Astyanax mexicanus: one gene and its partners. The protein of the gene in region 1 purifies or fractionates together with the protein of each later gene. This does not show direct contact. Links are inferred from orthologs where the notes say so. Each region holds a gene or a part of one and is shown in the gene's direction. Other genes may lie near its edges.

Region 1 (7,679 bases):
CTGTCAAGATAAAGGTTGACAATGAAGAGATCGAGTGCGTGCAAGAATTCACCTTCCTTGGATCCCAGATCGATCGAAGTGGGGACTGCAGCCTCGAAATAAAGCGTTGAATAACCTTGGGCAGAAACGCGATGTTGAGCATGAACAAAGTATGGAAATGCAAAGATATTAGCGTTAAGACCAAATGCAGATTGGTTTATGCCATCGTGTTCCCCATAGCCATGTATGGCTGCGAAAGTTGGACTTTAAGAAAAGCAGATAGGAGGAAAATCGACTCATTCGAGCTGTGGTGTTGGCGAAGACTGCTCCGAATACCCTGGACAGCCAGAGTGACAAACCAGGAAGTGCTGAGGTGCATCAATCCAGATATGTCGCTGGAAGGGAAGATCACAAGGCTCAGACTCATGTACTTTGGACACGTTATACGATCAAGTTCATTAGAGAAAGATCTAATGCTCGGACTGATCAGCGGCAAAAGACGATCAGGCCGCCAGAGAACACGTTGGCTTGACACCATCAAAGCTGATACTGGACTGAAGTTAAGTCAGATGACAGATGTCGTACAAGATCGGACAGCATGGAGAGAACTAGCCCATAGAATCGCCAAGAGTCGGATACGACTGAATGGATAACATCATCATCAATATATTGAAGTAATTTTAAAATAGGCCTTGTTCAAATGAACTTTTAAAAAAATATATGCAACCTGACAACAACTCATTCATCGACTTGCTAAACATTTCATTTAAACCACAACTCACTAAAGTATCCATTCAAGACAGCTCCCACAAGCTGTAAACACTTACAAGAAAGGAGTGCATCTCAACTGCCTCCAGCTGTGTGGTTTTGATCAGACTTTTGTTTCAAAGTATAAAGACCACATTTACTACTCAGCAAAATATTCTACCTTTTGGAGAACATCTGCATAAACATACAATACTTTGTATAGTGTGGAAAGCACAATAAACTTTTTAAATGCTGTGACATGTTTATTTTATCTTGTGAGTATATCTCATTCATTACCAGGAACATATTTTTGTCTCATAAACAAAACAGAAAGATTCAGAGATTTGATATAAATAATTCGAGTATCCTATTCGATGCCTACCTGCCAATTCCTAGAGATTTCAGCTAGATATATCAGGCATACTGTCAGGCCTACTCACATCAATTAATTCAAGTTATGTATCTGTCACAAAAAAGCACATTAGTGTATTTGATAGCAACCCTATCTTTTTTAACTAATTTACAATAAAGCCATCAGGACATAAGCCAAGTTCAAAAAAAGCGCTCCCTGATGACAAATCCAGCTTGATTTGTCAAGCAAGCATTGGTGGTTCACCAGTTTTTGACCAGCAGAGTGGATGCTGCAATTGATTAGCTTATTCATGTTGATCCTAGTTGGTCTTGCTTGTCAACCAACTTGTTCTTCATGCAGGTCAACCATCCTGCTTTTACTAGACATGCTGGTTACTGGCTTGATCAGGTTGGTCATACTTGTAGAACCAACTAAAACATAAAACATGCTTTTTATAGGTATATTTTTGAGTGAAATGAACATTGTTGTTTTATTCTATAAACTACGGACAACATTTATCCCAAATAAAAATACTGTAATTTAGAGGATTTATTTGCAGAAACTGTAAAATGACTGAAATAACAAAAAATATGCAGAGCTTTCAGACCTCAAATAATGCAAAGAAAACAAGTTTATAGAAATGTTCTCCTCCACCAGTCTTACACACTGCTTTTGGATAACTTAATACCACTCCTGGTGCAAAAACTGAAGCAGTTCTGCTGGGTTTGATGGCTTGTGATCACCCATCTTCCTCTTGATTATATTCCAGAGGTTTTCAATTTGGTAAAATCAAAGAAACTGTGAAAGAAAAGTGGTCTCTTATTTTTTTCCAGAGCTGTATGTTGGTAAAAGTAATTAACTGATCAACCAGCCTAAACAGCTCGAGCTGGTTCTGTTTGTTTTAGCAGGACAGTCAGCACATATAACAAACCACAGTTGCTCTACTGCATGCATGTAAGTTATCTACCTATCTATCTAAATGTGATATAAATCACAAGCTTCATTTCTCAGCTTCAGTTCTCATGCTGAACTGATCTGGTGAACTCGCCGGGTTTGCTTGGCTCTTCTTTCTGCGGATGAATCTCAGGAACCCTCCGCTGATCTTCTGCTGCCTCTTTCGCTCCGGTCTCGTTCCGCGTTTCATTATTAAAAGCTAATAATGTCCCGTTATTATTAAACACAGTGTCAGTCCCGTTACTCTGGAGCGTGGCGTTCTCTGCAGATGTGGACTCGTGCACAAAGCACCACAGCACGAGCAGCAGCAGGCTGAGCAGGCTCTGTCCGATCATAGTGACTGACTGACTCTGCTGCAGTGAGCCCACTTTACTCTGGGGTCAAAAAACTCTTTAAACGCCCCAGTAACCCAATACCAATACTGCACTTACCGTAAAGCCTGTAGTAGCCCTGTTATCCTCTGCCTGACTAAAACAGGGCTATGTTTAATATACAGACGTACATTATATACATATGTAAAATTAAACGCAGCTCGAGGCTTTTACTTTCAGTAACAGTTTTGGGCCATTCCACCAAATGGGTACCATTTTAAGGAGTGAATTTTGTGCCAAAGGTTTTACACAAAGAATAAATAAATAAATAAATCTGCAATGAAAATCTTAAGAATCAAACATAAAAAGTGTTTGTGGCAAATTTAAAAGAGAAACTAATATAGCAAATATATATTTTTTTGAATATACTCGGTTACTTTATTATTCTTTGCAGTTACTTGAAAATTATTTCAGTTGGGACTTTGCCAGTCGTTGCTTTCATTTTGTGTTTTTGTGGATTTTCTGTGGATTTTGCTGCTAAAGACTTTTTGCTCCTCCGTTGGTCATCTGATTTTAGATTGACCCTTACCCTCGTCTGAGGCCACGCCCACCCCGCCAGCTTCCAGGGTTCTTCCAAACCTGGATGAGCGAACGGCTCCAGTTCACAGCAGCAGACACTTTAGCTAACCCTAGCTAACTCACTGACTAAGCTAACTAGCATACTTTAAGCATGATTATTTAGTACCTCGCTAACGTGAGATTTTTAATGGAGTGAAACACTTGCTTAGAAAATAAATATAACCTTAAACATAACGTTTGTTTAAATTGGGAAAGTATCTGCTGCTGCTAAGCACTGGAACCCGTTAACTACTACAGGTTTGAACGAACGCTTACGGCTGGCGGGGTGGGCGTGGTCGGTCTCAGATGAGGGTTACCCGTCAGTCCAAAATCAGCTGACCAATGGAGATTTAAGGTTTAAGATTTAATATTTAAGCCCTACTCTAAGTCCCGCTCACCCGTAAAAACTGTGCCAAAACTCAGAAACACTATTTTTTAAAATAGTTTTTAGATTTAGATTTTAGATTTTTAAAACGGGTGTGAAACGAAAACGGGCGGAATTTCGGAAATGGAGTGGAGATTCCTATAAAATGTGGGTGTGAAAAAAAAAATGGGTGAGGATTTTACAAATAGGTGGAAACAAAAAATGGTGGAATTTCTTAAACAGGTGAAATACGAAAATGAAGGTGATGGAATATATATACACACGCACGCATAAAAATCTATTTAATTTAAAACGTCATGAAACAGTATAAAGAGCTTAATGTGTAGCTGCAGTAAATACCAGCTACCTTCAACTCAGGCAAGAGTAACTTTGGCAGGGCGCCAGGGCTCCTCTCTGAACAGCGGCGGGCTGTCAGACTGAGTCCGGTTTGGTTATTGAAAAAACAAAACAACAAAGTTGTCTGACTCCTCCCACACACAAATGGCGGCTTCTGCAGTGTGTTTGGGCTGTGTTACACGGAGGGAAAAGAGCGCGTTTCACTCTAAATAATATGCTGAAGGTATGGCGGATGTTTTGTTATTAAAGCAGCAGGATATTAGACGGCCGGTTAGTCTTTAGTCAGACAGACAGTTAAACTGTAGCAGGATAGCTCACACACGCTGTCTTATACTGACTACAGTGTATAATGTTAACAGAGCTAGTGTTAGCACAGGGAACTAGCTGTTAAAAGACTAACCTAGCTAATTCAGTGACTTACGGCTTTCTGAATATCGATACGAACAGCAGATTCGTATGCTGTTTAATGAAGCTAAAACTGTGATTTGTTATTTTAGCTGGTTGCTTGTCGGCGACACTGAACTGTACCCGCGGAAGTGAGCTAACTAGCTCGTTAGCTTAGCTAGGTTAACTTAGGTTAGCTTAGGCAGCATTAACTTTAGACTGCTCAGCGAATCGTAACTGCTAATCTAGTTAACGTAGCTAGTTTTAGTTAGGCTAGCTAGGTTAAATTGGTTGGGTAGCTAAAATACCTCATTAGTTACCTCAGATGTTAACTAGCATGCTATTTTAGCACATTAGCTAACTACTCAAAAGACACAGACCGCTCAGTATAAACAATGCTGCCTTCAATTCATCTCGGAAACTTACTGTCACGCATTGATGTTTGCGAACCCGTTAAACTAGCGAAAATTGTCTCGCTTATTGCTAACTATATGTCTGCATACAGCTCTGAAAAAAAAATAAGAGACCACTTTAGTTTCTGATTTAGTTTCTCTGATTTTGCTTTTTTTTAGGTATATGTTTGAGTAAAATAAACATTGTTGTTTTATTCTATGAACTATAAACAACATTTGTCCAAATTCCAAATAAAAATATTGTCGTTTAGAGCATTTATTTGCAGAAAATTAGAAAATGCTGAAATAACAAAAGAAAAGAAAACAAGTTCATATTCATAATTCAGAAATCAAGGGTGGAGTAACTCTGGTTTTTAATCACAGTTTCATACAGTTTGCCCTGTTCTCCTCCACCAGTCTTACACACTGCTTTTGGATAACTTTATGCCACTGCTGTTGCAAAAATTCAAGCAGTTCTGGTCTGGTCTGGTTTAGGTGGTCTTTTATTTTTTTCAGAGCTGACTATTTAACTTAAAACCAAACAAGCCTTGGGCATTTATTTATTTAGGAGAATGAATCTACATAATCGCAACTGGAAAAAGTATCTGGTGTGACTACAACAAAACATGTCCGCTGTTCAGTTTGGAGAATTTTAGGTAATTCCAGCGTTGCCAAGTAGCATCTTAGCAACTCAGTTCCGATACATCAGCTCAAAGATGCCGTTTGCTGATCAGCATCACCCTTTAGAGTGATGTGGGGAGAGAGCGCCATTTACCTACCCAGAGAGAGCAAGGCCAATTGTGCTCTCTCCTGTAGCCGATGGAAATCTACATGAACAGGAATCAAACCGGCGAGCTCCTGATCATAGTGGCAGCTCTTAGCCTGCTGAACCACTCTGAGCCCTTGAATAGGAGGATTTTTTTTACATGTTTGATGTTTACTATTAGCTAACTGGGCCTATAAATCATTTTAGTAGGATGTTATATTAAATGATTGATTTAAAATTCACAATTAATCACACCAAAGTACTCTTGTAATTATCTGTCAGGGATAAAATATAAAAGCAAGGCTTGTCGCAGTGTTCAGGACTTGATTGATGTGTAGGTTTATGTTATTGTTTAGTACATGTTTGGTAGTCTGTTGCATCACCTCATTTTTAGTATTTGTTTTGCACAGATGACCTGAGAGATTTTAAGGACGCATTTTTATTTTCCTCCATTTAAAATGAAAAGTAGCCTCAAGCAGCATATCAACTCTATGGGTGAGGGATACATTTGCAGAATCTTAAATGAGAACTTGATTTATTGATTTGCTACTTGTCTCTTATCTAAACTGCAAAATAAACTATCGTGTTCCGTGGCCTCTGCCTGTCTTGCTTCATTAAGTAAAGGTTTGGTGATTTGGAATGGTGCTGTGTCTTCCTATGTCTCTAATCGCTTTTACTTGTGAGGTTATGGGTCTGATTTGCAGGAACTTGCATGTTTGAAGCTTGGGCATAGTCAAAAATCAGTAAATGGTTGAAAATGGGTTATTACTAATCTATTACTAATTACACCAGCATGGCTATCATTCAGGCTGAGTGGTTTTGTGCGTTGGATTTATGTGCTTTATGATGTAGTATAATATGCTTTATTCATGTACAAAAGCTTCAGAGCAAGTTTGACGCTGTAATTTTTCTGTTCCAGTGAAGGAGCTCATTCCACTCGGTGTTCCTCGAAGATACAGTGCTGATGAGACAAGCACAACTCAACTGGCACCATGTTGCCAATTTCAGGAAACTGGCGAGAAGCAAGTTAATGTGCAGGAATCTTTAAACCCACTGCCAAAACCCATGCTTCCTATCAAAAGCTCAGTGCTTGAGCAGAAGAGTATATCTGCTGTAGCCTCTTCTACAGGCTCCAGAAAAGGCTCTGGAGGAGGTCAGGGAAGTCTCCCCAATGTGCTCTTGAGAAAACTGCAACTGGACGACAACAACAGTAGTCACTCCATTAAGGAAGTGTCACTCCGACCTGCTACTAAAAAAGACCCACTGAAGAAAACTTCGGGTTCTTACAACAAAGACAAAAACAAAGAATTTGCCTGGGCTTTTTGTAAACAGTTAAATGAGAATCTCAAGGTGATTACTTAAATATTTGTTTTTTATGTTTAAGATAGAGTTGTGAGGTTTATATATGCTCCTAGGATACCTTACTGTTTTTAAGTATTTGATTGTATCTACTCTTTGTTGACTTAAATGGACATTTTTCCTTGTTCTGTATTTAGGTTGGAAAGACCCTGTTGCACTCAGACAGCCTCCATAAGCAGAGTCCTGTGCCTCGTACGCATGTTTCAAGACCAGTTCCTGAGAGCCACACTTCATCATCCACTCAGAGAGGAGGCAAGCTTCCTGGCAGCAGTATGGAGCAGCGAGGCCAGCACTCTGCAGAAAAGGTGGACAAGCTACTGAATGGGGGTCACAACTCTACTTTGCTCAGTCCTGTTTCACCAGAGCAGGTGAGAACCCATTTATACAAAGGTCCAAATTAATTAAAACCTAGTTTACTTACTTAAATATATTAATTGATTTATTATCACAGTATGCACATGCTCACTAATCACATCGTATAATGTCCAGTGTCAAATTATTTTTTTTAGAACTATTTTGCTGCGTGATACAAAAGGGAAATGTACACTGTTTTAATTTTCTGATTTATATTTAATCAGATTTAGTCATTAAAAAGTTCTAAAATCAGTGTCCCAATGTCCCAACAGTGTCTCAATACTTTTATAATTTATGCAACATTGCATTCATTTCAAGATAACAGGCTATTCTGTATGACATTTATGGCTCTTATTATAAGTTTAATATAGTTTATATTTGCCTATGAACCCATGGCTGAATGCCAGTGACACATGGGGATCCACAGCCCACACTTTTAGAATAATAATAATACAGATATAATAATACAGCAAAGTTTGTAATGCTTATTCTTGTAATGCTTCTTCGTTTGGTCTTCTCAGGAAGAAATCACACCCTTCCAGGCAACTACACCAGGTATTGTGTCTATATTTTTCTGTAGCAAACCTCTTAAATGTGCAAATCAAAGCTCTGCAATAACACATTTTATCATATTTATGAGTTTGTGTTATTTTTTACCAGCTGGTGTCAGATCTCTGTCACTGAAGAGAAGAAGAGGGTCCAGTACGGACTCAAAGGGGGAGGGCAAGAGATTATGTCAGGA
Region 2 (7,679 bases), on another chromosome or scaffold:
AGAGAGAGAGACATGGGCCAGATGTATTCTCCCAGCACTTAAACTGAAACAAGCATGCTTCTACCCATCCACACACACACACACACACATTAGCCCACTTAGCCTGGAGAAGGTGTGAAATATTTAGCAGGCAGTGCCTCCTCCGGCGTTTTTAAAAACGCCACCGAAATCCTCACTTAAAACTAAATGCCCTAACAGAGCAAGTGTTCACTTTTAAGGAAACATGCTAAATTAAACACGACCATCATCTCATACTTTCCACCACTTCAGGAGTTATGAACTAATACTGCCTTCAGATCCACCTCAGAAGCTCGTATTAACAACTTCAGACCTTGTAATTTATATTCACGTGGATCTTGTGGAAAACAACATGAACACCCTTCGAAAATACACCCTTTTTCAGGTTACTTTTGTACATTTACAATTATTTAAAACATGAGCATGTGAAAGTACATTGGAAAGAACATTAAAAAATATTATGATCCAGTAGATATATCATTAGTATGTAAATATCTAACTTTGTGTGGATTTCAGTAAACCAATAAAAAGTGGCTCCAGTTGCTGATTAATTAGTAGTTATTACAGGAATGCACCCACATCAAACAGCAGAGCATACCATATCTAACCAGCACAGTAGTTAACATCAGTCTGATATCAAAAATCAGCCATTAATAATCGGAAAACAGTATTAGGGCTAACATATAGGCCAACACCTACTACAGATTTCGGTCAATATCTAAAGACCGGTGTGAACTATAACTATACCCACATATTCTATCAAACCACAGAACCTACTAATCTAACCAGAACAGTTTCATCCATCTGTTACCAAACATTCAGCTCGATAACCATTAGAGTCGCCAGTTATCCATTAGACGCTATGGCTAATCCGCCATTTTGGGCTTCATAATAATAGTCTCGTAGCAAATTATATTAAACCATACTAAGAACATCCAATATTTTATTTTATTTGGCTTTACTATCTAACATTTAGATCAAAATATGTTAAAATATTCTATTAATATTTGCATAGTCTTGAATCTTTTGAAAATATCCTCTGACCTGTGTGTCTATGTATGGCCTGTATACATTGTTTGTCATTTTAGGCAATGGGTCTTAATTGGTCTAACGTTGTAAGAGATTCAAAGTACTTACAGCATATGTTACTGACTGATGTTCATTACACAGAGCTTTTAAGTCTGCCACTTGAAAAATTAAATTGAATTGTATGTATAGTTCTAAGTCAGGGGTGTCCAAACTACAGCCCGCGGGCCATTTGCGGCCTGTTTCCTTTTTTGGAGCGGCCCGCGAGGTATTTTAGAAATAGAATGAAAGTTGGCCCGCTGTTAAGCAGGTTTTTATAATGTGAGATTCAAAGTTTGAACGCTAGGTGTCAGAAACGGGCCAAAGAGTCTAAAAGCGGAGAGGGTGCGCATTTCTAGCGCAGAAAAACGGGCCAAAGAGTCTAAAAGCGGAGAGAGTGCGCATTTCTAGCGTAGAAAAACTGGGCAAAAGAATCTAAAAACGGAGAGGGTGCGCATTTCTAGCGCAGAAAAACGGGCCAAAGAGTCTAAAAGCGGAGAGAGTGCGCATTTCTAGCGCAGAAAAACGGGCCAAAGAGTCTAAAAGCGGAGAGGGTGTGCATTTCTAGCGCAGAAAAACGGGCCAAAGAGTCTAAAAGCGGAGAGGGTGTGCATTTCTAGCGCAGAAAAACGGGCCAAAGAGTCTAAAAGTTGCCGTAATTAAGGAGTTTAATATTAAGAGACATCATGAAATGAAACATCAATTTGAAAAATCTTAGTTTACACAACACTGTCAAAGATAAAGATAGTAAGTCAAGTAAAATGGTGTGTAAATGAAATAATCAGGAAAAAAGTATTATTTAAAGTGGTATTTTTTATTATTTGTTTAATTACAGAGTGTGGCCCATGACTTCAAATATATTTCTCCTTCTGGACCTCAACAAAAAAAGTTTGGACACTCCTGTTCTTTCTCCAAAGTACTTTGATGATGAATGTGATGTATGTGTGTGTGTGTATATATATATATATATATATATATATATATATATATATATATATATATATACATATATATATATATATATATATATATATAAAATTTTGCAATATTTGCACTGATCATGTAAGTTTTTACTAACAAAAGTAACAGCTGTGTTTTTTGCCTTTGTAATAATACAAAAGAGAATATCAACAAGTTAACTGAGATTAAAAAAAAAACCTCTATAAACATTTTATAATACATTAACAGACCCACATTACACAGTTTTATTACTGTAGCTAGTTACCTTATTGTGTAGAACATGCAGTCAGTGGCACTCCAAATCCATGGAACCAGGGAATATAATCATTATCCTCATTGTTCTTATTGTTTAATATCACTAATAGATGTGTTTATTCCTAATACGTCCAGGTTACTGAGTAAGTTAGTTAGTTAGCTAAGAAGCTCGTGATGATAGTCTCTGACTGTGTTTAAAACCTTAAAAATATAATGAAAAAATAATCTCTATATTCTCTTCCAGTCATTTAATCAAACAGTGATTAAACCTAAAGAAGGGACTGGAGTCACATAGAAAGAAAAAATGCTTAGTATCCAATGAGGGGGATTAATTAACTAGTTAACGTTAACTATCTAGCTGCCAGCTGACTCACACACACCTGTAGATAACTAGATAATTAGCTAAATGTGTGGTGTTTGATTAGCTAGCTAGCTATGAAGGGAATTAAGCAGTTAACGGTAGCATGGTGTTGTCTAGCTAGCATACAGAGCAAAAACGAGGAAAACAGGCTTTAATCTGGTGCATGCTGAGATAACAGAAGTTTTTACACGACAAAAAAGGTAAAATCCCTTCCTAAAACCCCGGTTCAGAGTATATTTCTGCAAAACCCAGCACCTTATCAACCAAAGCGTCTCTAACAACCAGCGCGTGCAGCTCCGCTTCCAAACATCCTGTACACGGAGCGGAGCAAACCATTCACACATGAAGGCGGGGGAGACTTTTCGTGTTCCTACACGTTATTATCTGCGTTTACGTTGATTATTTCAACTGTATGTTTTTTTTATTTGATCTTTAATTTAGTTTAAACCACTTAAATGTTCATTAACTCACGTTTTAGGGTAGTTATTCATATTTTCGCTTCTTAAAGCTCACCCCCGTATTTCGCAGCAGCGCACACGGTAATACAGCCCAAACCCACACGTCAGTTGACATGGACGCAAAACAAGCACACTCTGAATGTGTTTTATAACCATATTTTTAATCTGGTTAGTTGTCTTCATGTGATACGTTGTGGAATATTATATGTAACTAGTAAAGCGTGTTGGACGGCGCACTGGCTGAAGATGGGACGGCTTATGGAAGTTTAATAGCGCTAGTTTCCCGAGAAGCTCTGCTTTTTTGGCAGGAGTTTTGGCGCGGCTTCGAAAATGGCTAACGCTACCGCTAACGCTGGGTTCACTTAGCTAATAGTGACACTAGTCAGTTAAAGTCAGTTAAAGCTAAGTTAGTCAGTATGGTTAGCTTAGCTTAGCTTAGCTAGTGATTTCAGCAGCTCTTATATTATAACGGCTATCGTATTTGCACAATAATACAAGGTAAGACCGCTGCAGCTGAATATTTAAATAAAATAAGCTGAAAAAGACACACACGTTAGCTAACTACCTACCTACCTAACCTAGCCAACTAGTTTAACTGTCTATATGTATAACTAACCTATGTCTCTGTCTCTCCCTCTACTTTTCTGTCTCTGTCTCTCTCTCTGACTGTCTGTCTCTATCTATCTCTGTGTCTCCCACACATAAGATTCAAAGTAGCTTTATTGTTATATAATTACAGCAATAACAGCGATACAACAGATATATTTAATGTGTCTTGTAACTGTCATGCAAAATGTTGGCCCTATTTGGCCCTGATTTCCCTCAATTGGACCTGCTCTCTCTCACAATTGGCCCTGCTTTTTTCTCTCTCTCTCTCTCTCTCTTAATTGGCACTGCTTTCTCTCTCTCTCAACTGGCCCTGCTCGCTCTCTCTCAACTGGCCCTGCTCGCTCTCTCTCAACTGGCCCTGCTCGCTCTCTCTCAACTGGCCCTGCTCGCTCTCTCTCAACTGGCCCTGCTCGCGCTCTCTCAACTGGCCCTGCTCGCGCTCTCTCAACTGGCCCTGCTCGCGCTCTCTCAACTGGCCCTGCTCGCTCTCTCAATTGGTCCTACTTTCTCTCTTTCTTAATTGGTCCTACTTTCTCTCTTTCTTAATTGTCCATACTTTCTCTCTCAATTGTCCCTGTTTTCTCTTTCTTAATTGGTCCTGCTCTCTCTCTCTCTCTCTCTCTCTCTCTCTCTCTCTCATTTGGCCCTGCGTTCTCTGTCTCTCATTTGGCCCTGCTCGCTCTCTGTCTCTCATTTGGCCCTGCTTTCTCTCTCTCTCAATTGGCCCTTCTCTCTCTCTCTCTCTCTCTCTCTCTCTCTCTCTCTCATTTGGCCCTGCTTTCTCTCTCTCTCAATTGGCCCTTCTCTCTCTCTCTCTCTCTCTCTCTCTCTCTCAATTGGCCCTGCTTTCTCTCTCTCTCAATTGGCCCTTTCAGTTTGGGTAGAAAATGATGTAAATTAGGAATGCATTTTAAATGAGAAAAAAGATGATTGGCTGACGGCAGCAATGTGAATATTGCTGTCACCTACTCTGCCTGTCTCTCCAGCATGTTGGGGAATAAGTATGTGTTTCAAATGTCTGGAATCAAGAACCTCCAGAAGAAACGAGAGCTCCTTCAAGGAATCAAGTGTCTACATGGGAGTTATATAGGAGGTTCTGTGAGTATCCGTTTTACTAGAAATACACACTTCTGCTGCACATAGTCTGCATGGCCTAGCATGACCAGATGATTGACCAGCACCACTATTGTGCTGGTCATTAGCTATAGAATTTGATGTTCTAAAAGACAGTGGGAACCAGCATGTATTAGGTAGATCAGCCAGCACGAAACCAGCATTTGTTGTGTTTTTAGTACTCATAAGCTAATAAAACAGCAATTAACCAGCATTAGTCCAGGATAAACGAGCATTTGTTTTGTGTTGTACATGGGCACACAGGTAAACCAGCATAAACCATCAATTTTTGTGTTTTGAGTACCTGTAGGTGGTAAAACGGCAATGAACCAGCAGTAGTCCAGCATAAACCAGCATTTGCTGTGTTTTGTACCTGGGTACACAGGTAAAGAAGCACTAAAGCATAACTACACCAGCATAAACAAGCATTTGTTGTGTCTTAAGCACAGAGATGTTTGTTCAGCTGCAGTGAACCAGCATTAGTCCAGAATAAACAGTAATTCTTGTGGTTCAAAAATGTGTTTGATGGTAAATATGGGAATGTTGGTAGAGAAGCACTACACTATAACTAACCCAGTAAAAATTAGCATTTTTTTTGTATTTTTAGTACAATTGAACTAGTAAAACAGCACTTAACTAGCACTAGTCCCTCAAAAAACAGCATTCATTGTGTTTTGTATGTGTATGATGATGATAAAAATAGTCCAACATAAACTATTAATTGTTATGCTGCAGAACCATTTCAGCATAGACCAGCAATTGCTGTGTTCTAAGCACTTTTATAATGGGCACTAGCAATTTTAAGTGTCTGATGATGCATGTTTTAAACATGCATAAACATCCATACACTAGTTTTGGCCAGCATTTATGTTTATGTTCAGGCTAATCTACACTGTGTTGTTCAGCAGTTGAGACACCATTTGTAGTGTTGGTGAAAATGACCCCAGGCCTCATGTTTGAAAGCCATATGTTCTTTTGGCCTTTAGCTTACCCTTATTTTTCCACAATCTGGGTACGTCCTTCAAGAGCTCTACGGCTCTACTTATAATATGATGCCTTTTAGCAAATAACACCGACCGGCATTAGCACTTCCATGACATTCCACCTTACCGTATTCTCCCAAAAAGATAAAGTGGTAGTGATTAGCCCTGAAAAATGACCCTAATTGCTTGCCGATGCTAAGGTGTATTTTTGTCTCTGTAATTTTGTCCTTGCCCTCAATACCATCTTAATTTAGTTACTGACTGCTCTTCCTACTAATTGAAGTCTCAGGGGTATAAAATCCACCTCGCAGTTCTTGACCTTTGGCTCTGCTCTTCTACTGACAGGTTAAAAACCAGAATAGAAAGGTGACTTTGTGCGTTAGAGAATCTAGAAGCTGTTTTTTTATGGTTATATGCAGAAACTAACAGTTTATTTTTTTGCAGGAATACAGAGAGGAGATGACCCATCTCATCGTTATTCATGCTTCAGCAAGTGAGAAGTTCATCTCGGCATGTGCTGGAGGTTAGTGACGATGATAATTATTTATTTACTGATATACCTGATATATCTAAAATGTTAAAAAAAAACTATAGTTTTCCATAGTAATCAAGGGGTTAAAGTTTTAGCGTTTTATCTAAATACCTTACAATTTATTTTTTTATGCCATATGTGATTGTAAAACATGTATGCATTTAAATTTTATTTCTGCACTCTGTGTTTTATTTATTTTTTCTCAGTTTTTCCTCCACCTACACAAGTACAATGTACTTAACCACCTGCATATATATATTTTACTATCTAATAGGTTTAAATGGGCAATTCTAGCCAGAAACTGTCGGCTATGATCATTACCACTTACTGTGCTGTCCACTGTGGGTGTTAATGCCTGACAAGTGTTTAACTTCACTAACTAGATAACACCTCACAACTTAATACAGCTTATAAACACCCACACCTGTATAAGTCATGTATCTCTAAAATGGTAGCTTTGTGCTAATGGAACAAAAGGATGAATGAACATTTTAAGTACAGACATACAGACTAATTATATATTTTTTATTTGAAATATTTGGTAGTTCTTCTATTTTTGATTAATAAAAATGTGCATTGAAAATTGTCCTGTTGACCTGTACAAAAAATATTTAAGAGAGGACCATGATGCACCTAAGAATGAGGGAGCCATTTTCCCAAAATCATATTTAAGAACATCTTAAGATGGTGAGAGGATTGCAACCTAAGAAACATCTTGGTGCTAAGAACCTATTTGCAAACCCCCATCCCAATTTCTTTGTAATTACATCAGTGTTTTACAGCTAAACTATGCTAGTCTGTTTTTATTTACTCATCTGTATCTTCACTGATGTTTATCCTGTGTTCTTTTTTATTTTAGGAAAGTGGATTGTAACTCCAGAATTTGTTCTGGACAGTGTGAAGCAGAATGCATGGCTATCAGAAGCCTTATATGAGTTAAACCTCACTGCTAACACGAGGACTCCGTCCATGACCAACCCTCTTCAGAAATGGAGAGAGAAAGTAGCCAGAGGCGTTGTGTCTGGAGCTTTCCAGGTCAGGGTTGTAGTGCTGCATAATTGACTAAGTACAAGTCATAATTATTTCAAGTGTCTTAAAATGTCAGGTTTCTTTCCCAATAGGGCTGGACTGTGTGTCTTCATATTGAAGATCCTGATAGGAGAAGCATGTTCGAAAGGTGAGCATGTGAAAGAAAGTGAAAGAACTTCCAGCAGAGGTAGCAATATTAAAGTGAAATATGAATGAACTACTTTTGACTTATTTGCCATATTCTATTCTGCAGTATTTCAGTGTTTTTCTGTCCACAGAATACTAAAAGCAGGCAA
Region 3 (7,679 bases), on another chromosome or scaffold:
ATGCAAAGCTTTCAGACCTCAAATAAAGCAAAGAAGTAGATCTTCAAAAAGAAGTTCATCTTCATAAAGTTTTAAGAGTTCAGAAAGCAATATTTGGTGGAATAACCCTGGTTTTTAATCACAGTTTTCATGTGTCTTGTCATGTTCTCCTCCACCAGTCTTACACACTGCTTTTTGGATAACTTTATTCCACTCCTGGTGCAAAAATTCAAGCAGTTCATCTTGGTTTGATGGCTTGTGATTATCCATTTACCTCTTGATTATATTCCAGAGCTTTTCAATTTGGTAAAATCAAAGATACTTTTTTCCAGAGCTGTATATATTTCATCTAAATGTTATTAATCATCTTTTTACTGTTTACTCTTAAACCCATTGTTTTGTACTTCAGAATTCTTGCTTGAATTACAGTCCAGTCTGTTTTTCTCATCCAAGGTCACTATTTGCACATCGAGGCCTCCCAGATGTTTGCAGGCCACAGAGCGCGTCTGGTCTCCAGCGTTCTCCGCGGTTCTAAAGGTCCACAGTGCCTGCAGTTCTTTTACCATATGTACGGCTCTGGCACAGGAACGCTGAGCGTCCTGCTGAGCTCAGATCTAGAGGAAGAAGACAGGGTCCTGTGGGTGCACAGCGGAGAACAGGGCATCTCCTGGGTTAGAGCATCAGTGAGCTACCAGTATGATCATTCACACCAAGTAAGAAAACTTAGTTACCCACAATCCACCAGTGTTCATACTTTCAAAGAGATCTTATTTTCATGTAATTGTTACGTATCTTTCTTCTTCTGGTTCAGATCGTTTTTGAAGCTCTCCGGGGGCCGTCTCTACGAAGTGATATTGCGATTGATGACATCATATTTCAAAAGGGACCCTGCAAAGGTATTCCTCGCATTAATGATACACAGATTATAATATGCCTTTTAATCTAAGGTGATATCATGTGATGTCATTCCCAAACTTTAATTATCTCATTTCCACACATAAGGAAATCGTTCCCAAGCCTTAATATTTTGTTCCCACGCATTAGGAATTTGTTCCCAAGCCTTAGTTATCTCGTTCACACGCATTAGGATCTTGTTCACACGCCTTAATTATCTCATTCTAACACATTAGGGTCTTGTTCCCAAGCCTTAATTATGTTGTTCCCACGCATTAGGATCTTGTTCTCAAGCCTTAATAATTTTTTTCCCATACATTAGGATCTCGTTCCCAAGCCTTCATTGTGTTGTTCCCACGCATTAGGATTTTGTTCCAACACCTTAATTATCTCATTCCCACACATTAGGATCTTGTTCTCAAGCCTTAATTATTTTGTTCCCACACATTAGGATTTCAGTTATTAAGTTGGAGCCACGCATTACTTTTTTTTAAACATGATTTCACCATAGGTTCTCCTTTAAGCTTCATTAACAATTCTACCTTTTCTGGCTAGTCTAATATTAGCAATTAGCCTACAGTCAGCTATTGTCTTTTCTCTGGTTAGCATAAGCATTTAGCAATATCTGTTACTGTCCTTTTCTGGTCAGTTTATCTGTATTTTCTAGGCGACAAAAGAAACGAATTTCAGGCATTTACAGCACTTACACATAAAATATAACAACAATATATGAATAGTTTGATGTGTTTGTCTCAATAATACTCAATAATATTAAATGTACAATATTATTCTTGGGCATCTCTAAAACACCCATCAAGGCATTGTAAAAATAATAAACTCTTTCTCTTTCCCTCCCACAGATTCTGACCGGCCAGCATCTGGAGATCTTAACAACATTGAATAAAACATTAAATACAGCACACAGAGGTTAATCGTAATTAACAAAATTTGGGGGAACACTTGAAAAAGAGGAGATGTGTTTTTTGAGTTAGTCAGTCATCCCTGGCTCCTCGCTCTTTGTAACTAACTTGAAAACAAATTTGCTATCTGGATTGGGAGATTAAAGTAGGATTTTACGAGTTTGCTTGTACTATATGATTGCGTCATGATAAAGATTTTTTAATAAAGCTCAGTTCTGCAGTATGTTTGGTTTATACATATCACTGAACTATGGAGTAGATATAGTGTTTATGGAGAATCTTTAATAAAGAGGAAATTATACTGAATTACAAATGTGTTTAAATTCTTTTTAAATACTCTTATTTTATTAGATTTTATTTTTGAACCATTTTCACCATTTCCACCAATGATAAAAAATTGAGTTTAAAACGTGATAAATAAAAAATAAAATGATTATTAAGCATTAGATGATATATGAATGTATCATGATTTCTGGAGGAAAGCTATTGGTGTATAAAATAAGCACCTACCGCCCTCTAGTGAATAAATTGTTTAATACAGTCTATTTCTGTTACATAACTTTAAATGTTGGGAACTCGCCACTAAAATAATATTCCTGCGAGTGCAAAGCAGTAAAGTAAGTCCAGATTATAAAGTCATAAAATTGAATTTTTAACATCGATTTTTTAAACCTCTCTATTAAGTTGAATTTGCGAGAAACTAGTTTTTAAATGTCTTTTTCACTCAAAATGTATATTGTCTTCTATGTTGGAAATCTGTTGGATTTTTATTTTTTTTATTCTGATTTTTTATTAATGATACATTTCAGGTACAGACACTGCTCAGCACATCTTTACCTTATAAAAAGTTCAAAGTTAACATACATAGGTTACATTATTATTATTATTATCAGTAGTAGTATAGTAGTAGTAGTAGTAGCAGCATATTATTATTAGTAGTAGTATTAGTAGTGGTAGTAGTAAATAATTAGTAGTAGCATATGGGCTGGACATTTTAACAGCACATGAAGTTATAAAAAAAGCTTAAATTAAATCAGATCATAAGGGATACAGAGACCAAAAGTATAAATTGCTTTGAGACCAAGATTGCTAAATATTTATTCGAGTAAAACAAGAGAAATGGTTTATACAGTTCAAAAACCTTACTAAAAACAAATATTTTAAATTTGCATTGGTGTATACAGAACGTATTAGATATAATAAATATAACAGTAAATTCCTGGTTTAACTGAATGTTTATCCTTGACCTGAATGAAGAGAGGGACGCGCCAGTCACGTGACCGGCGGCGGCCAATGACAGTGGGCTATGAGGCGCTACAGCGGCGCGAAACGAAAGCGGAGAGGTGCGGGAGAATGGCGCTCCAGAGCAAAAAGAGGAGAATAAGTCACATTTTAACAAACTCTCAGCTTCCCAACAGCCAGAACCTGCTGCTGCCCTGCAGCTCGCAGAATGGCAGCTTCGCCCAGGAGAACGGGCAGAGCGGCCCCTGCGTGGAGGGATCCATTCGCCGCATCACCATGCAAAACTTCCTGTAAGTAGTTAAGCTAGCGCTAGCTAAGCTAACAGGCTAACAGTGTTATACAGCAGCAGCGCTCAGATTCTCTAATATAAATACGAGTTTATTCATGATTTGTAGAGCAGCCTGTGCTGAGTATTTAAACTTCTGTCTATATATTATATTTATGGGTGATGTGTGTAACTGGAGGCGGAGGGTCATGTTTTATATTCTGGGTTGACGTTTGTAAACATTTAATGACAAGTTACTAACCTTGTTAACTAGCGCTAGCATAAATATCTATCTATGTTTATATATAACTATCTATCTACCTAAATATATCTCTATATGCATATATATATATATATATATATATATATATATATATATATATATATATATATATATATATATATATATGTATGTATATGTATATATATATATGTATATATTGCCTAAAAATTATGAGTATGAGTTTCTTTGATTTTACCAAATTAAAAACCTCTGGAATATAATCAAGAGCAAGATGGATGATCACAAGCCATCAAACCAAGCTGAACTGCTTAAATTGTTGCATCAGGAGTGGCAAAACATGATCTAAAAGCAGTGTGTAAGACAGGTGAAGGAGAACATGCCAAGATTCATGAAAACTGTGACCAGGGTTATTCCACCAAATATTGTTTTCTGAACTCTTAAAAAAAACTTTATGAACATGAACTTGTTTTCTTAACATTATTTGAGGTCTGAAAGCTCTGCATCATTTTATTTCAGCACATATGATCACTCAGAGGTTTACCCTGGACCCAACTTAAATATGATAGTGGGAGCCAATGGCACTGGCAAGTCGAGTATTGTCTGTGCCATTTGTCTTGGACTGGCAGGGAAGACTGCTATCCTGGGCAGAGGGGATAAGGTAAGCCCGATAACACTGTTTGTTCTTATTTCATGTAGACTCTTAGGAACACATAATAATATGTTTATGGGTTGTAGGTCTTCGATACCACAAATGAGCCATACATATTGAGCCGAGGTATTCAGACTTGTTTCCTGACATGGGGAGCATCAGCTCTTTGTTTGATGTTGTTTGTTTGATGAACATTATTGCATGTTTTTCATTGTATATTTGTTTTTTCAGGTCAGCTTGTATGTTAAGAGAGGCTGTCATAAAGGATCTGTGGAAATTGAACTGTAAGTATTGTCTGTCTGTCTGTCTGTCCTCGCTTCCTATCTTTAAAGATAGATATAATTTAAAAAATATAGACATAACATTTTATTTATCATTTAATGAACCATTTATTGTGTATTTTTTTGCATGTTTTAAATGTTTAAGTATTTTCTCTGGTATATATTAACACGAACAATATAAGATGTGAGCAGTTGACTAACTATTTCTTAATAGGTCCATCTCTAGGTCGTCTAATGCTTCACCCACTGTTTATTCAGGTACAGGAAAGAGGGAAACTTGGTGATTAACAGGGAGATCCATGTAGAAAATAATCAGAGCGTGTGGATGATGAACGGTAAACACTCCAGTCAGAAGGCTGTGGAAGAAGCAGTCAAGGAGCTCCAGATTCAGGTCGGAAACCTCTGTCAGTTTCTGCCTCAGGTGAGTAACTGTGCAAACTGTTCAATGTGTGTGTGTATATATATATATATACGGGCTTCTTTGAACACTTACCCTTATAACACTGCATTTCAGCGGAGTGGCTTTACTGCTCCTTAATATCAGACTGGTATAATTTATACATAAGGAGCACTGAATTATAAGGCCCACTGTCGATTTTTAGAAAAAAATAAGGATTTTAAGTGCCCCTTATAGGGCAAAAAATACTGTGTGTGTAATTTTTAGCTTGGATCAGTTATATTAAGTGTTAAGAGTGCAAAATTACCATTAGCCGTTAAATACCAAGTTTTGCCTTTACAGTGCTTTCTTCTGCTCAACAGGAGAAAGTTGGTGAATTCGCTAAAATGAGTAAGATTGAGCTTCTTGAAGCCACCGAAAAATCTGTTGGACCACCAGAGATGTACAACTTCCACTGTGAGCTGAAGACCTGTCGCACCAAAGAGAGGGACCTGGAGGTACATTTGTTGTTGTGACTGTTTGTATCAATCTGTGACAAATTGACATGCCGTGATGGTGAAAAGGAGAAATTACTTTTAGAGTAGTTGCGTTTTTACATTCTATTGTCAGTAATGTATGAATTTAGATCATTTAGAGCTAATTCTTAAGGCTATTTTGGTTAATGCATTGTTATGCATTGATATTGTCATGCAGAATGCTCTGTAGTCCAGGACTAGTTTTGAGCCCACTTCAGGGAACCAGCCCTATAAGTGTAACACAGTGTATGAGTGTATAAAGGCAGACGGTAGGCCTGTCATGGTGATTATTATTGCTTAAACTGTATAATAGTTTCAGCAATATTTGCTATACATAACTTTATTGCAACTTCATGATCATTTTATTATGCAATTAAATAACTAAAATAAAAGAAAGCATGCAGTCTGGGATTAAGTCTTTGTGTGGGTATTGTATATTTAAGGAATAATAAGAACTTGCTTTTACATTTTAAAACCAAAATAAATGAAATTTACATCTGATTGATTTAATTTGATTTGAGGGATACTATGCTTATGGGCTATTTTGTGTGTTTCTGTGTTTCTAAAGAATTTGTGTAAAGAGAAGGCCAACTTTCTAGAGAAAGCAAAGCAGAGGAACGAGCGCAATAAGGTGGATGTGGAACGGTACCACATGAAGAGGAGACATCTGGATATGATCCAGATGTTGGAGAAAAAGAAGCCTTGGGTGGTCAGTGTCTGTTTCTGTGCATAATATATTTTTTTTATTATTTTGTAATGTTTGCTGGTTGTCTTACCTGGCTGTGGAAACTATTGGTAAATAATCGCTTAAGTGCTTAAATCTTCTGAAACCCTGACTTAAAAAAAAAAGCAATGTTCACATATGGACATTAGTTTATTTTAATCTTTAAAATGATCCTTAGTCCAAAAAAAAAGTAAATAAACTTGTTAAGAACATTAAATTTGTTGTTAATTTTTACCTGGCCCATGTTTCTGTCTGTACTGGCTGTAGAAATCTTTTACTGGGATTCCTGCCGTCTTGCTTTTAATCAATTGAGTGTAATGTTGTTATGAAATTGAATGGTATGGGCAGTGAAAAGAATCGCCATTTTAAAAAAATGAAGAATCATGGTGCAAAAAAGCAGAATTGTAATTTTCCATTATGAGGATGCAGGTTCTCAAGAGGTTAATATGGATAACGACTTTCTTTTTCCTTTATTTCTTGGTTCAGGAGTACGAGACAGCTCGTAAAGAACTGGAAGAAGTTAAAAAGCAGAGGGAAGAAATGAAAAAGACGGCAAAGTCACTAAAGGAAACTCAAGCTCCCCTTCTGAAAAAGATCCAGGCTATGGAAAGCAAGCTACAGCCTATTGAGAATCAGATGAAGGAGAAGGTCTTGAAGTTTCTCCCTTCAGACAAATTCCCTTTATAATCCTTATATTGTCACTGTTGAATTTACTGTTGACCATTATTGTTGTATTCACAGACTGTTAAAATCAGAGAGGCGTCACAGAGATGCAAACACAAGCAAGACCAGCTGGACCGGAAACATAAGGAGGTAAAAGGCTGCTTGTTGTGCCTTTAGTAAATAACAATATAATTTTTGGCTTCAGTAATTATGTACATGTGGCATAAAATACCATATTGTTGCACAGTAAAAAAAAAAAAAAAGAAAAGAAAAAAGCTCACTGTAAGTATAATTACTGTACCTTTCGCAATATAAGTTGCAGTTAAAATCCTTTAATTATCCTAAAAATCGATTGAAAAAAGTGCACCTTATTTTCGGGTGTGCCTTATGTGTGAATTCTACCAGTCAGGTTGTACAGAACAGTAAAGCCACTTTAGTAAAGTACAGCGCTAGATCACTAAGCGCAGCTAAGCTCAGCGCAGCTAACCCCGCTAAAATACTGGAAATCTAAGCTTACTGTAAATACACAGAAGCTGCCAGAGCCTCGAGAGAGCACAATTGGCCTTGCTCTCTCTGGGTGGGTTAGATGGTAGTGTTTCCCCACATCATTCCTAGGGTGACGTGGACCAGCACAATGCGTCTGTGAGCTGATGTATTGGAACAGAGTCGCTGCACTTTCCTGAATGGGTGGGACAAATTGCCCAAATAAATTGGACGAAAAATTGGTTTTATTCCATATTTACCATACAGGTGCTGGTCAACGAATTAGAATAATTTGAAATAGTGCAATCATGAAATTCTTTGAATGCATTTTTTGTGCAGAAAGCAAATCAGGTGTTCACCGCACCTGTCCTACTCGTTAGACTAATCACAGAACTCGTTACCTGGAAAAAAAATTGCTCAGCT

The links.
Region 2: the proteins of slf2 (region 1) and slf1 purify together in Homo sapiens (co-immunoprecipitation; 3 studies listed by BioGRID and IntAct, with this or other methods). This does not show direct contact. The link is inferred for Astyanax mexicanus from reciprocal best matches to the Homo sapiens genes SLF2 and SLF1.
Region 3: the proteins of slf2 (region 1) and smc5 purify together in Homo sapiens (affinity purification with mass spectrometry; 3 studies listed by BioGRID and IntAct, with this or other methods). This does not show direct contact. The link is inferred for Astyanax mexicanus from reciprocal best matches to the Homo sapiens genes SLF2 and SMC5.

The regions. Positions count from the first base shown.
Region 1 is NC_064414.1:27,838,006-27,845,684, forward strand, and holds the start of slf2 (SMC5-SMC6 complex localization factor protein 2), read left to right. Parts: upstream 1-3,799; 5' UTR 3,800-3,905; intron 3,906-5,634; 5' UTR 5,635-5,682; coding exon 5,683-5,719; intron 5,720-6,143; coding exon 6,144-6,574; intron 6,575-6,720; coding exon 6,721-6,951; intron 6,952-7,458; coding exon 7,459-7,492; intron 7,493-7,597; coding exon 7,598-7,679. Other genes in the region: cpxm1a (probable carboxypeptidase X1), read right to left, coding at 2,127-2,367. UniProt on the Homo sapiens protein: Plays a role in the DNA damage response (DDR) pathway by regulating postreplication repair of UV-damaged DNA and genomic stability maintenance.
Region 2 is NC_064429.1:25,826,782-25,834,460, reverse strand, and holds the start of slf1 (SMC5-SMC6 complex localization factor protein 1), read left to right. Parts: upstream 1-2,795; 5' UTR 2,796-2,859; exon of another isoform or gene 2,860-3,123; intron 3,124-3,200; exon of another isoform or gene 3,201-3,615; intron 3,616-4,712; 5' UTR 4,713-4,713; coding exon 4,714-4,824; intron 4,825-5,149; exon of another isoform or gene 5,150-5,224; intron 5,225-6,266; coding exon 6,267-6,345; intron 6,346-7,213; coding exon 7,214-7,389; intron 7,390-7,475; coding exon 7,476-7,531; intron 7,532-7,661; coding exon 7,662-7,679. UniProt on the Homo sapiens protein: Plays a role in the DNA damage response (DDR) pathway by regulating postreplication repair of UV-damaged DNA and genomic stability maintenance.
Region 3 is NC_064427.1:23,097,189-23,104,867, reverse strand, and holds the start of smc5 (structural maintenance of chromosomes protein 5), read left to right. Parts: upstream 1-3,096; 5' UTR 3,097-3,146; coding exon 3,147-3,325; intron 3,326-4,060; coding exon 4,061-4,202; intron 4,203-4,424; coding exon 4,425-4,477; intron 4,478-4,732; coding exon 4,733-4,895; intron 4,896-5,233; coding exon 5,234-5,368; intron 5,369-5,954; coding exon 5,955-6,095; intron 6,096-6,596; coding exon 6,597-6,758; intron 6,759-6,851; coding exon 6,852-6,923; intron 6,924-7,679. Other genes in the region: mamdc2b (MAM domain-containing protein 2), read left to right, coding at 433-692, 791-875, 1,734-1,777. UniProt on the Homo sapiens protein: Core component of the SMC5-SMC6 complex, a complex involved in repair of DNA double-strand breaks by homologous recombination.